3 linked regions of the Oryzias latipes genome follow. The protein of the gene in region 3 purifies or fractionates together with the protein of the main gene of each other region. This does not show direct contact. Links are inferred from orthologs where the notes say so. Each region holds a gene or a part of one and is shown on either strand. Other genes may lie near its edges.

Region 1 (3,189 bases), on a different chromosome or scaffold from region 3:
AAAATCTTCAGTGAACCCGGAAGCCTCTCCAAGGCCACGCTGACCAAACTGCGGACGACGTGTCGAGCTCGAATCGTCGCTGAAGAATCCTGATCTTATAGCAGCCTGTTTGCACATTTAACTTTGGAACCGAGTCACTGTTAACCTCGTCTTAAAATCTTCTCAAGAAAAGTGAAGTATAAGCTGATCATTTCAAATGATTTAAAAATATATTTGACTTCAATGTGGAATCAAGCACTTTAGTCCAGGATGTATTAGATGCCATCAAGGGGAATCAAACGCTAGCTATGAAGAACTTATTCTGTGATCTTCTCTGAGTAACTGAAGAGTTGACAGAGTCATTTTTGAATTTCAAATAGATGCTTAGAAGATGGTCTGTAAATATTCAAGTAGTGCTTTAGCTAAGTGTTTCTTTATAATGTGACTGTGCTAACCTTTACCACTTTACTCCTCTGGAGAGCACTGATTCTAGCTGAGGATTGTGTGATGAAATGCACAGTTGATTAAAAAGAGCAAATGATTCATTCACAAGTCTTAAATTTACATTTTATTCAGTTGGAGTAATCATGATAGAAAACAAGACCAAGCATTTTCTAGAAAAATAAAGGTTCACGTCGCAGTTTTTCCCCCCCAACATTTCTTCTGAAGGAAAAGCATCCGTGCACTGACTGCATGTGGCCTCAACACGGGATTTTAAAGTTGCACTAAAAAAAAAAAAACTTTGAGCAGTTTATACAGACTTTCAAGACTGATCAGCATTTGAAAACGGAAACATCAAAACACGTCAACCAAGTGTGAAACACATGAAAAGTTTTTACAAAAATGAGGCAGTTAAGCTAACATTTCCTGAAATTAGTGAGAAGTAGCTGCTGGAAAACAACCACTTTTCACAGGATTAAAGGCAAAGAGTAACCACTTTCTCTGGGGTTTGGACACTGACTATGACAGACTTTAGCAATTCAACTCCAAACAGGAAAAGATGAAACTTAATGTGCAAAGCTTTTATTTAATCAGGGTGCTTTCCTTAAAAATATAGCATTTTGCTTTTACTGGACATACACAAAAAAGCTAAGGCCAAAAATCGGATTAGCTGATCTTCAATGTGGAGGAATATTCAGAGCTTTCCCTTTTACAACATAATATTCTTTAAGGCTGAAAGTATCCCTGTGGACAAAAGGAAATTCACTCCGCACTAGCTTTTCTGCTTCACTCCCTCTGCCCAGTCAATTTTATTACTGCTAAAAATGGTTTCAGAAAAAAAATGATTTTATGCCATCAATAGAAATGAATCAATATTTAAGATAAATGTGTTTTAAACTCATCCAATCTGTGATCAGAAGTCAGACGAACAAATCTAAGATGAACTGGGCTTTTCCAACCATCCACAAACATTTAGAAAAGAATCATTTGGATGAACTGATGAACTCCTGCATCCACAGCGTTCTCATTCAGGTTCAGTCTGTTCGGTGCAGGACAAAGTGGCCTCATATGGTCTGGTATCCAGCGTGGCTTCTCTTTCGGCCTATTAGGTATGCGATGAGGACAATCAGCACCAGCCCAGCCAGAGCCGCTCCAACGATGATGGGAATCAACATTTGATCCTGGTCTATTTGACACACTTCAGCTGCACACAGACACACAAAGAAGTGTTATCGCCTTAGAACTGTGCCAACATGATAAATGTTCATTACTCTGACTTTGTACATGTCTGCTGTCCATGTGAACAGTTTTGAAGTTTCTTAAAGCTCAAATCTAAGAAAAGGAAGCTCTAACCTGAGGCAAACTGGGTGGATGTGACGCCAAACGGTTGAACCTGTAGTTCAAACATATTGATGGAGAACGTAGACACCACAAAGAGAGTTTGTTCGGCGTTACACATGTAGGAGTGTCCCAGAGAACTCCTCAGGTAATCCAGACTGGTGTTACTGGCTGAGAAGGGAGCTGTGCAGAAGACGAGAACCTCAACCTCAGTTCAAAGTCTAAAACAAAAATGACGCATGTGGAAAAAGACCGGGTAACGTACACATCATGTCAGTCCAGTTCGCTTGCAGAGTTATCCCGCTTAGATGGTACTTGTTGGATGTTGAGTTCTGTGGAAGAGAAGAAGGATTTGTCAGAAGAATAGAAATAGAGTTAAATGTCAAAGATAATTGATGAACGTACCACAGTGAAGAGGAAGCTGAGCACAGTGGTCTCCTCTTGTGCCAAAACCAAGGTGGCATTGGTGCCTCCACACAATCCAGAGGAGCTGGTCAGATTAGGAGTCAGGTTCAGCAGCTCCTGGACAGTCTGAGAGGGAGAAAAGCTGCAGTGATTAATGAACAGCTCTGCACATGTCTTCCGTGGCTCCTCGTTTGTTCAAACTTTCTTTCTGGAGCTTCTTGGTCAAAAGCTTCCATCTCCAGGACCGTAACTGTAGAGGGCTGTGTTGTGAAGAGCATCCAACTTAAACCAAGCCAAATACATAAATATAAATAGAGGAGATGGTTGTGAGGATGTGGATGAGTCACTATGGCAACCCTAAAGAAAAAAGCCCAACTTGAGATGAAACCCCAAGTGTTGCTTATGAAGCAAAACGATAACCCCCTCCCCAAGTTTTTGTGTTTTCTGAAACCATTTCAAAAACACCAAAGACACACAAAAGGTTCATACTTTTAAAAATAAATTGTGGTCACATTATACATTTAAAATCAACACATGCTTCATTTCTAGCAGCTGAGTCAAAGGTCAGCACAAAACAGCTAGACCAGGAGAAACATTTTAAAAGAATTGTTTAAAAAGAACCAAAAAACTTAATTGACATAACTGAAGTCCTTCAGAAAACTTGGGGAACTATTACTCAAAGATTTCAGAGTTGTAGTTCACTTAAGCTCAATTTTAACAAGTGTTGTTGGTTCAGCAGCACAAACTATTCCAATCCAATGACATGACCAAATTCTGAGGTCAAAGTTCCTTCAATCTACATGTTTTATGACCCCTTAAACTATAGAAACTGCTGTGTCTTACCTTATTCTGAGACTGAGAGAAGTAGCTGACATTGAGCTGCACTCCCATTTTGGCCATGAGACACACAGTGCCGCTGGCGTTCTTCACGGAGTAGGAACCCTGTTCGGGAGTTCCTGCTGGAGTTGGTGACGGAGTGGTCGGTGTGGCTGCACTGGTTGTTGTAGTCGGAGCTCCGGTAGTGGT
Region 2 (4,141 bases), on a different chromosome or scaffold from region 3:
GATCTGCCGATGAAGATTTGGAGAGGAGTTGAAACATCTGTGGGTGGAGCCGTGAAGTCATGTGACCGCAGAGGTTTTCAGAGGAATCCGCTTCTCACCTCGTGCCGAACATAAGATTCATTCAGGAAGTTCTTGTAGCGAGACCTCAGGTACTGACCCAGCTCAAAGTGCTGCCTCATCCCCTCCTATAGAGCAGAAAAAAGAAGTCCAGAAGGTTCTGCAAGATTTTATGTCAATCCTAGTTAAGTTCTCCCCAAAAATAAACAGAAAAAGGAATCAAAACTGACAAATCTTTATTACAATGCTGTCTCTTCTATTTGAGCATTTCTTATTTTCATGTGTTTATATAAAATCCAACCAAACAACCCTTTAGCATTTAGCTTGATGGAAAAATGGTTCCATCAAGTGAAATTAAGGACCATAAAATGATAAAACTCTCCAACTGTTCCAGAATCCTGGTATTAAATAATATTTCATTGGGAAGGAGGTTCAGAAAGTTTAGTTTCGCTGAATTTGTTTGGCCACAAATGGGTCCAGGAGGATTTCTAACTCTAATGATCTAATGACCCGTTTAAGACTTCAAATCCCATCAAACCCCAACCAATTGTTTTATGGAAAATATTTAATGTATTCTTTAAGACTTTTTTAATCCTAAAAAGAAATAAATGAGGGATGTTTTATAGTGAAGTTAATATTCATGCTTGATCTGAAATCACACACAAAAACTGCAATCATGTGATTGTAATAGTGTTTTTTTTAACATATTCTTTAGACTGTATTCACTGCTAAACCCCACCCACATATAATTAAAGTATTACTGATATATATTTTTAAAATAACTAAATAATGAAAGTTATGAGTTAAACCTTAGAAAACATTTTTTAATAAAGAAAAAAACTGCTTGAGAATTTCCTAAATAAGAGGACAAATGAGTGAGAAAAGGCTCATCACAATAATAAATGAACCAGGTCTCAGAAAGAAAACACACTGATTCAGGCCGTTGAAAATGACTTGGTTACATTTAGCTGACGCGTTTATAAACCTCCAAATCTTTCCAGCTTAGGCAGTTTCTATTGTTAAGCACGAGGGTGGAAGTTTGGTGGTATGGGGCTGCAGGCAAATTCTTCCAGTTCACAATAATTACCCCACTAAAAATGAAGATTTAAACAAAGTTAAGGTGATTTTTAAATGCAGATTTTTCCATATCAAAAGGCAGATGTTTGAGATTTTTTGGTGTGTCCAAACTTTACGGAGTATGCAAGTCAGTCCACATACCTGAGAAAGCTGCCCAAAGCCTTGAGGCCAGGCACTCTCCTGGTAGGGGTCAGTGGGATAGGCTTTGACAGGCGATCGGTCACCGTGTCGAAACAGCTGAAGACATGAAAAGCAAGCAAAAGGAAACACATCAGGTGACACGATTGTTGCACAACATCAACTCAAAAATTTCCAATATTCGAAAGGATGTCCATCAACTCAAGCGACGCAGCACAGAATCTGAAGAAAAACAGAAAAAGTTGATCAAACCCTCAGACAAATACGTGCACTTATAAAGAAAAATCTAGGGCAGTTTTTAATGAAATATACCCCCGCCAAAACCTTTGTTCTGCTTTTATCTGCAGCAGTGGCGGTTATGACATTCAGTCAGCTGACGGCACACTTATAGGAAAATAAACACCAAACTCTAAACGGGGCCCTAAAAGCCTCGACACGCTCTGCTGAAGTGAACTTTGGTTTAAAAACCAGTTCAAAACTTTAAAAATGTCTCATTCCCTAAATGCCAAACCACCAAAAAGACCAAAAAAACAACAAGGTGAGAAATCCGACATGCTAGACTGAAGCGTCTAACAACTGCAAAAAGAAAAGTGCATAATCTCTTTTTGTGGTGAGGATTATATCGTTTATTGAGGCCCTAATCTCGTTCGCTTTAGGAAGAGTTTACTGCAGAAGGAAATTAGTGGTCTAAGAATAAGAACAGGAATTAGACTGTGCCGCTTTTGGCTGCAGATTAAAAGAAAACAGAAGTATCTAGTTAAAGCGGTTCTATTTTACTAAAAATGTATTCATCTGTGACATTAGATCAGTGGAGTGAGATCTAAACTGCTTCTTTGTGTTTTCAGGTCATCTGCATATAAGGTCAGACAGATAACACAGCCATTGGTTTCGCTTGAAAAGAAGAGAATGTAAACAATTACTCCAAAGAAAGAAAAAGGAGGAACATTATAAACAAAAGTCAAAAATGAACTGAAACAAGGTAGAAAGAAATAAAAAAAACGTATATTCCTCCATCAGCAACCCCTTATCTTCTGTTTACATGACTGTAGTATAAATTTCTACTAACTTTTTCTGGTATTTTATCACATGTTCACTACATTGACTTTTTACACGAATAACACCGTAGGATACGATTAAATACTATTTTTATGCTAAAAAAACAATATATTTAATAACTAATCAATGTACTACATAACTTTTTTAATTCGTAAAAACTAGCAAACGCTTAAATTAGTTTATCTGTTAGCTAGCTAGCTGATAGTGTATTTACCGCAAGGACAAAATTCATTCGAGGAAAAAAGCAAAATATGCCAAAAGGATATATTTTTTATTTATTAAATGTTTATTTGCATTTCTATAACGAATTTACAGAAACACTGAGTATTTTTTGAAAAGTTTTTTTGTGTCTCCAAACGTAAAAAAAAAAATATTTATTGTCGAAAAAAAGTACGTGAGTTTAACGCCATTATCCCCCCACTCGTAAATACTTACCACTGTCACAAACACCAGTTTTTTCTCCGCGACCGCGGAAGCCACGGCGAAGACGAAAAGCACGACGGAGGACACCATCATGACTCCGTCCGTGGCTCCGCTTTCTGCAGAAGAGCTGTGCTAAGCAGCGCGGCGGCGGCGGCTCCTCCGACCGTCCCGTTTATGCATCTCTCATTGGTGGAGAAACCGGAAGTGAAAGTGTTAAAGAATACCTAAAATTGGAGAAGGATAAATAAAATACAAAAAATTCATGTTTGGGAAGCATTTATTGTTCAAATTTCAGAACATTTTTAAGTTTTTATTCATTTTTTAAGCGAACGTGCTCTTTTAGAAGACAAAAAGGTAGAAGTTACATGACACTGCTTTTATTTTGACACAGTGATTTTTTTAAAAAGGGAAGTTCAGCAATTTGCTTAATGTCTTATGACTGTTCAAGCTGTTTTTCAGTAAAATTGGGCGATTTTAGTGGACAACTTCATTCGTGTTTGATTAATAATCTTTTCTTTATGTTGATATTTCCAAATACTGTCAAAAGCAACATCAGGTCCAAATCTTTTTTTTAATGTTTATTTTTTTTTACATTTTTTCTTACACATAATTAACCCACTTTAGGATTTAATAAATGAGGAAAATTAACTGTCTTTTGGATTTGATATATTTGATAACTAATGTTCTTATTTATCTTCTTATTTGAAGACAAATATAATAAAACGCTTTACAAAAATATTATCTATTCAAAACATGTAAGTGGTAAAAATATTTTTAAAAGCAGGCATTTATTTGCATGTTTTTGTATATAACAATGAATTAAAATGAAAAGAAAGCAATTGGTTTTAAAATCAATAATCTTCCTTTTTCCTCTTTTATTTAAATATTCATTAAGTTAGAGTTCCTCCTGCCCAATATATTCTAAAAATTGACCCACTTTTTCATACAAAATGAAATGCATTTCTTTCTGAAGATTAGCCCTTATAAACAAATCAAACATTCCAAAGTCTACTTTTTAATCAGAAAATAGTTACCTGGCATTCATCCTTCCTGACACTAGAGGCCAGTGTTGTCGCTCAAAGAACTGTGCGTTCCTGTAATACCGTCTGTGTATCTGTTGTTATTAACACATTTCACATTTTTTAGCAAATAATCACTAAACCTTTAAATAATGAACACTATTCAGAAGTGTCTTCTTAAGATAGCTGATTGCTGGAGGGATAATAAAAGAGTTATTTTCATATTAAGATATCCATTTGATCCAAACTTTAAATAATGACAGTAACTCAAGATTATCAGTCACATAAACTTGGAGGTTGGGTTAATTTGACTTTTAAATGCCATCTTCCGCCAATTACTTTGGTCCAACAAAGATGTCAATCATTAACAA
Region 3 (4,149 bases):
ATGGCACACTTTAACCTTGACAAAAATCCCGTGGCACACCAGCATCCAAAAAAAAAAAAAAAAAAAAGGACAAACTCATAGTCTGTATTGATCTACAGCCTCTCTGCAATCTCACATGCATTTTTGTGATAATTGTGGCAGAAAAAGCTGGAAGCTGCAGCTGTTTTTTCTAAAAGATGTAATAAAAGTTAAGTTAGAAGATTTAAAAACTGTTTGATGTGCGTTCGTTGTGGTTTCAAGACGTTAAGAGGAGCGCCGAGACGCTGTCACTTTAACCCAATGCATCATGGGACATGTAGTGCAAAAATCAGCCGAACTCAGAAAGACTAGCGTCTCTGAGCTTCATTGTTTTGTTCAATTGTTCCACCGTCTGACACCGGATTTTGTGGAAGGCTACACCGCTAAAGACGAGCTTTTGCTGGTATTTTTGTTAGAACTGAGAAACTTTATGAGCAGAATCGGAACAAGGAAGTGAAGACTTTAACCACTTCTGATTGGTCAGAGTGATGACATGTGATTAAGCCTCCAAGAATGATTGGTGGAGACAGTTAAAGGGGCGGGACTTTTCCTGATACAGACTTTTCCTGATAAATCGTGGTACCGTCATTCTTATCAAAATGTCTTTAATAATAATAAAATAAACACAAAGAAAAAATTATTTTACGATTTTTCATATTTCTAATTTCTCAGTGTTTTATCAGGACCTGTTTGGATGAACAAAGAGCTGATATCCTAAAGATGGTAAATGTTTTTGGATCAGTTTATGAGGGCAATTTACCACAGCACACCTGACCATCTCCCACGACACACTAGTGTGCCGCGGCACACTGGTTGAAAAACACTAATCTAACTGTAGCTTTTTCTAATGCATCTCTTTTGCCTAACAAGTCATTCAGTGATCCCAATAAGTCACATCAGATGGTCACCTTGGTCTGGTTATGCCAGAGCTTTCTTCCTATAGTTTCATTTCAATAGAATGTGCTATATAATGGAGTTCATGTTACATAATCATTGGCCTTGCAAGGCTCTCATTACCCACAAGAATAAAATTAGATATCCTCCCCCCGTGAACCACGTGTTAAATCCCAGACACACTTCAGTATGAACAGATGTGCAGCATAACACCAACAAAAAACAGCATTACAATATGTTCTAAAGATGGAAACAAACTCCTGTGTGTGTGCACTTAATCAGTGGCCATCTTAAACAAATTACAATAACAAGAGATGTGTCTTTACCTGCGTAGTACAGAAGACATGGAAAAGTCAACAAAAGCTCCAGCCCCAGAATGCTGAGAAGCATGTAGGTACGCACCGTCTGGGACAATCTGACAGTCAGAAATATCAACATCAAGACATTTCCTATTTAGACAAAAACAAAACAAAACAAAAAAAAAATCACTCTTTACTGCCACCTGTTGGATATCCATGAACTTTACGTCAGAAGTAAGTGAATGTACATCTACCTGAAGAGTGTATTGTGAACGGCAGATGTTTCAGCTGCTGTGTTTGTCTGTAAAATTGCAGGTATCCTCTGCCCCGAACTTTATTGTGATGATGCTGCACACAGCAGGAGAACGCCAGGACCAGCAGCCACAAACACGCCTTTGCGTAAACTATGATGCTGTTGCCAGGTTCATTTCCCAGAAAGTGCATACACCTCTCCTCTTGGCCAAACTTCAGCACACACAGAACGGCCACACATATTGACAACACAACGAAGACAATCTAGGAATAAAAAGCAAAGAGACAAAGTCATTAAAGAACAATTTAGTGCGAAAAGCCTCGTGACAGTCTTATGACAACAAACAGGAAACAAATTGCTTACTGGGCCTAGATGGAAAAAGATCATTTGCAGCTAAAAGTCGATGCAGACACTTAGAGAATAAAAAATATATCATGTAGTTTTTACATAAACTTTAGCTTAACGCTGAGTATAAAATAAACAATTAAAAAAGGCTGAGTTCTTTATAAACACCCACAAATGGCCCATCCAGGTTGAAGGAACTTTGCGAGTCCCTCCGACAAAACTAACATTAGCAACAGTTTATAATAAATACAGTCACAAACAATGAAAATATTCTTTAGAATCAAATTAGCATCAGAAAGAGAATATAAAATGATTTATAAAAGGTACAAGCTACATGTGGGCGTCATACATGCAGAAGAGACAGCAAGGCAGCATGAAGATGTGTTGGCAATGTTTGAAACTCTCTTCTGATGGCAGAATGAAGTGCATCAGCAGAGATCAGTGGTCCGTCTACCAAAGTGTCCTCCTCTGTACTCTGGGTCATATCTACTGAAGGACCTGCCTGCTGGAAAGAGAGAGAAAAAGTTTACATGTAAAGAAAAAAGGAAAAAGATAAGTGTACATTTTTTAATGGAAAAAAATAAAATTATCACTTATTTAGCAGCTACTTGGCAGCTAAATTGTTAAGTGAACAGTAATTCAACTCTAGACAAACGTTTTAAAAAATTAGATGGCTCCTGTTTAGGCAAATGGTGGAGTCATGAAGTCGCTAACAAATAAAACAATGCAGCTCCTAGTTATTGTTTTTAGCAAACCGTGCTAGCTAGCAACTATTTTGGGCAGTCAGGTGAGTTGGTGGTAATTAATTGCTAGTTAATGTAAAGCAGTAAGTACTTACTACATGAGCAGAAGGTCTTTGGAAGTCCATCTATGTGGTCGTCCTAAACAGCCAAAGAAACAATAAGATATAACATGGCTTTATTGCTTATTGGTTTATTTCCGGTCGAGTGACAACTGTGAAATATCAGCGGCAAAGTCTAGTTCCGTCTTTATCTGGTCCGACTCCTGTTGAACATTTGTTCCTGGCTAAACAGTTCCGCTTCACAAGCGAGAGTTAGCGCAACTCAGAAAAGGTTAATAAATGTGTATATATGGGAAATTATTTACCCCAAATTTTGGTAGACAAAAAAACAAAAGACACCCCCCACACACGCACGTGTTATTTTATCAAGGAGGGTATGACACAGCTCTTAGCAAAAACTTGAGTATATTTATTGCAAGTAAATTACAGACCATGTTCCTGTAGTGGTTGAAGTATACTAGATAATACATAAAAAGTAAACTTCAAGTAATCTGCTTTACTTTTAGTATAGACTGCTTGTTGTACACTGAGACTGCTTTGTGTTAAGGGAAACCACAAAACCTGATCATAATGAGAAAGTCATTTAGGCATTTTTCTTTTTCTCTATTGTACAAAATATTTTCACTTCAGCGAAAAAAGAAAAAAAAACAATACATTTTTTTCACACAGGTTCAACCGGGATTCTGTTCTTTAAGGGCAGGTGTGTCAAACCCATTTTCACCAAGGGCCACATCAGCATAGTTGCTGTCCTCAAAAGAATATAACTTATACATGTAACAAAATGTAATGACAAATAAACGTAACTACTCCTTAATGTTAAATAACTCATTATTTATTTACTATAACTTTTTCTAGTGACAATTACAATTGCGTAGAAAACACGTTTGCTTGTTACTCTAGCATAAATCCTTTTACATTTTATTCTGTCAGGTTAGGTTATATGGACAGTGTTTAAGTCCTAATGTATAGTTGCCCAATCCGATATTTCAAGTCTGATTCCCCCAAGATATGAATAAATACACACCAATTTAAATTTTTTTATTCTAAGAAATTAAAAACTTTTATGCTCTCGCGGGCCACATACGATGGCATGGCGGGCCACCTTGAGTTTGACACGTGTTTTAGGGCAACTGAATATATAAGGTTGATCTTGTAGAAGTTTCAAAGCTCATCCGAGTAGCTTCTTCAGTTTGTCTCAACTTTTATTGTTCAGCTCAGTAACAGAATCCTGTGATAAGATGACTAGGAAGTCTAAGAATCTTCACAGAAATTTAAGTTAAACATTTTTTAGATGTTTTAAAACGCCGGTTCCTTAAATCTCATTTGGACTCATTATCAGAGAGCAAATAAATTATGACAATTTCAAATGTTTTTATTGTTAACCATAATACAGCTGTTATAAAAGACAACAAATTGAACTGTGTCCAGGAGAAAAAGACACTTGTCCAAATGTAGGTGGGACAGAGGAAAGAGTGAGACGGCTCATTCTCTGGGGAGGCAACAGTTGTGATAGAGGCAGACAGCAGATGAAATCATTA

Evidence for each region.
Region 1: the proteins of tmem192 (region 3) and lamp1 purify together in Homo sapiens (affinity purification with mass spectrometry; 3 studies listed by BioGRID and IntAct, with this or other methods). This does not show direct contact. The link is inferred for Oryzias latipes from reciprocal best matches to the Homo sapiens genes TMEM192 and LAMP1.
Region 2: the proteins of tmem192 (region 3) and acp2 purify together in Homo sapiens (affinity purification with mass spectrometry; 3 studies listed by BioGRID and IntAct, with this or other methods). This does not show direct contact. The link is inferred for Oryzias latipes from reciprocal best matches to the Homo sapiens genes TMEM192 and ACP2.

What each region holds. Positions count from the first base shown.
Region 1 is NC_019861.2:16,437,294-16,440,482, reverse strand, and holds the end of lamp1 (lysosome-associated membrane glycoprotein 1), read right to left. Parts: coding exon 3,007-3,189; intron 2,290-3,006; coding exon 2,164-2,289; intron 2,091-2,163; coding exon 2,024-2,090; intron 1,942-2,023; coding exon 1,774-1,941; intron 1,625-1,773; coding exon 1,485-1,624; 3' UTR 535-1,484; downstream 1-534. Other genes in the region: grtp1 (growth hormone-regulated TBC protein 1), read left to right, coding at 1-93. UniProt on the Homo sapiens protein: Lysosomal membrane glycoprotein which plays an important role in lysosome biogenesis, lysosomal pH regulation, autophagy and cholesterol homeostasis.
Region 2 is NC_019860.2:17,043,236-17,047,376, forward strand, and holds the start of acp2 (lysosomal acid phosphatase), read right to left. Parts: upstream 2,938-4,141; 5' UTR 2,845-2,937; coding exon 2,764-2,844; intron 1,372-2,763; coding exon 1,276-1,371; intron 186-1,275; coding exon 99-185; intron 4-98; coding exon 1-3.
Region 3 is NC_019859.2:19,547,927-19,552,075, forward strand, and holds the start of tmem192 (transmembrane protein 192), read right to left. Parts: upstream 2,832-4,149; 5' UTR 2,678-2,831; coding exon 2,648-2,677; intron 2,315-2,647; coding exon 2,159-2,314; intron 1,728-2,158; coding exon 1,466-1,727; intron 1,362-1,465; coding exon 1,239-1,361; intron 1-1,238.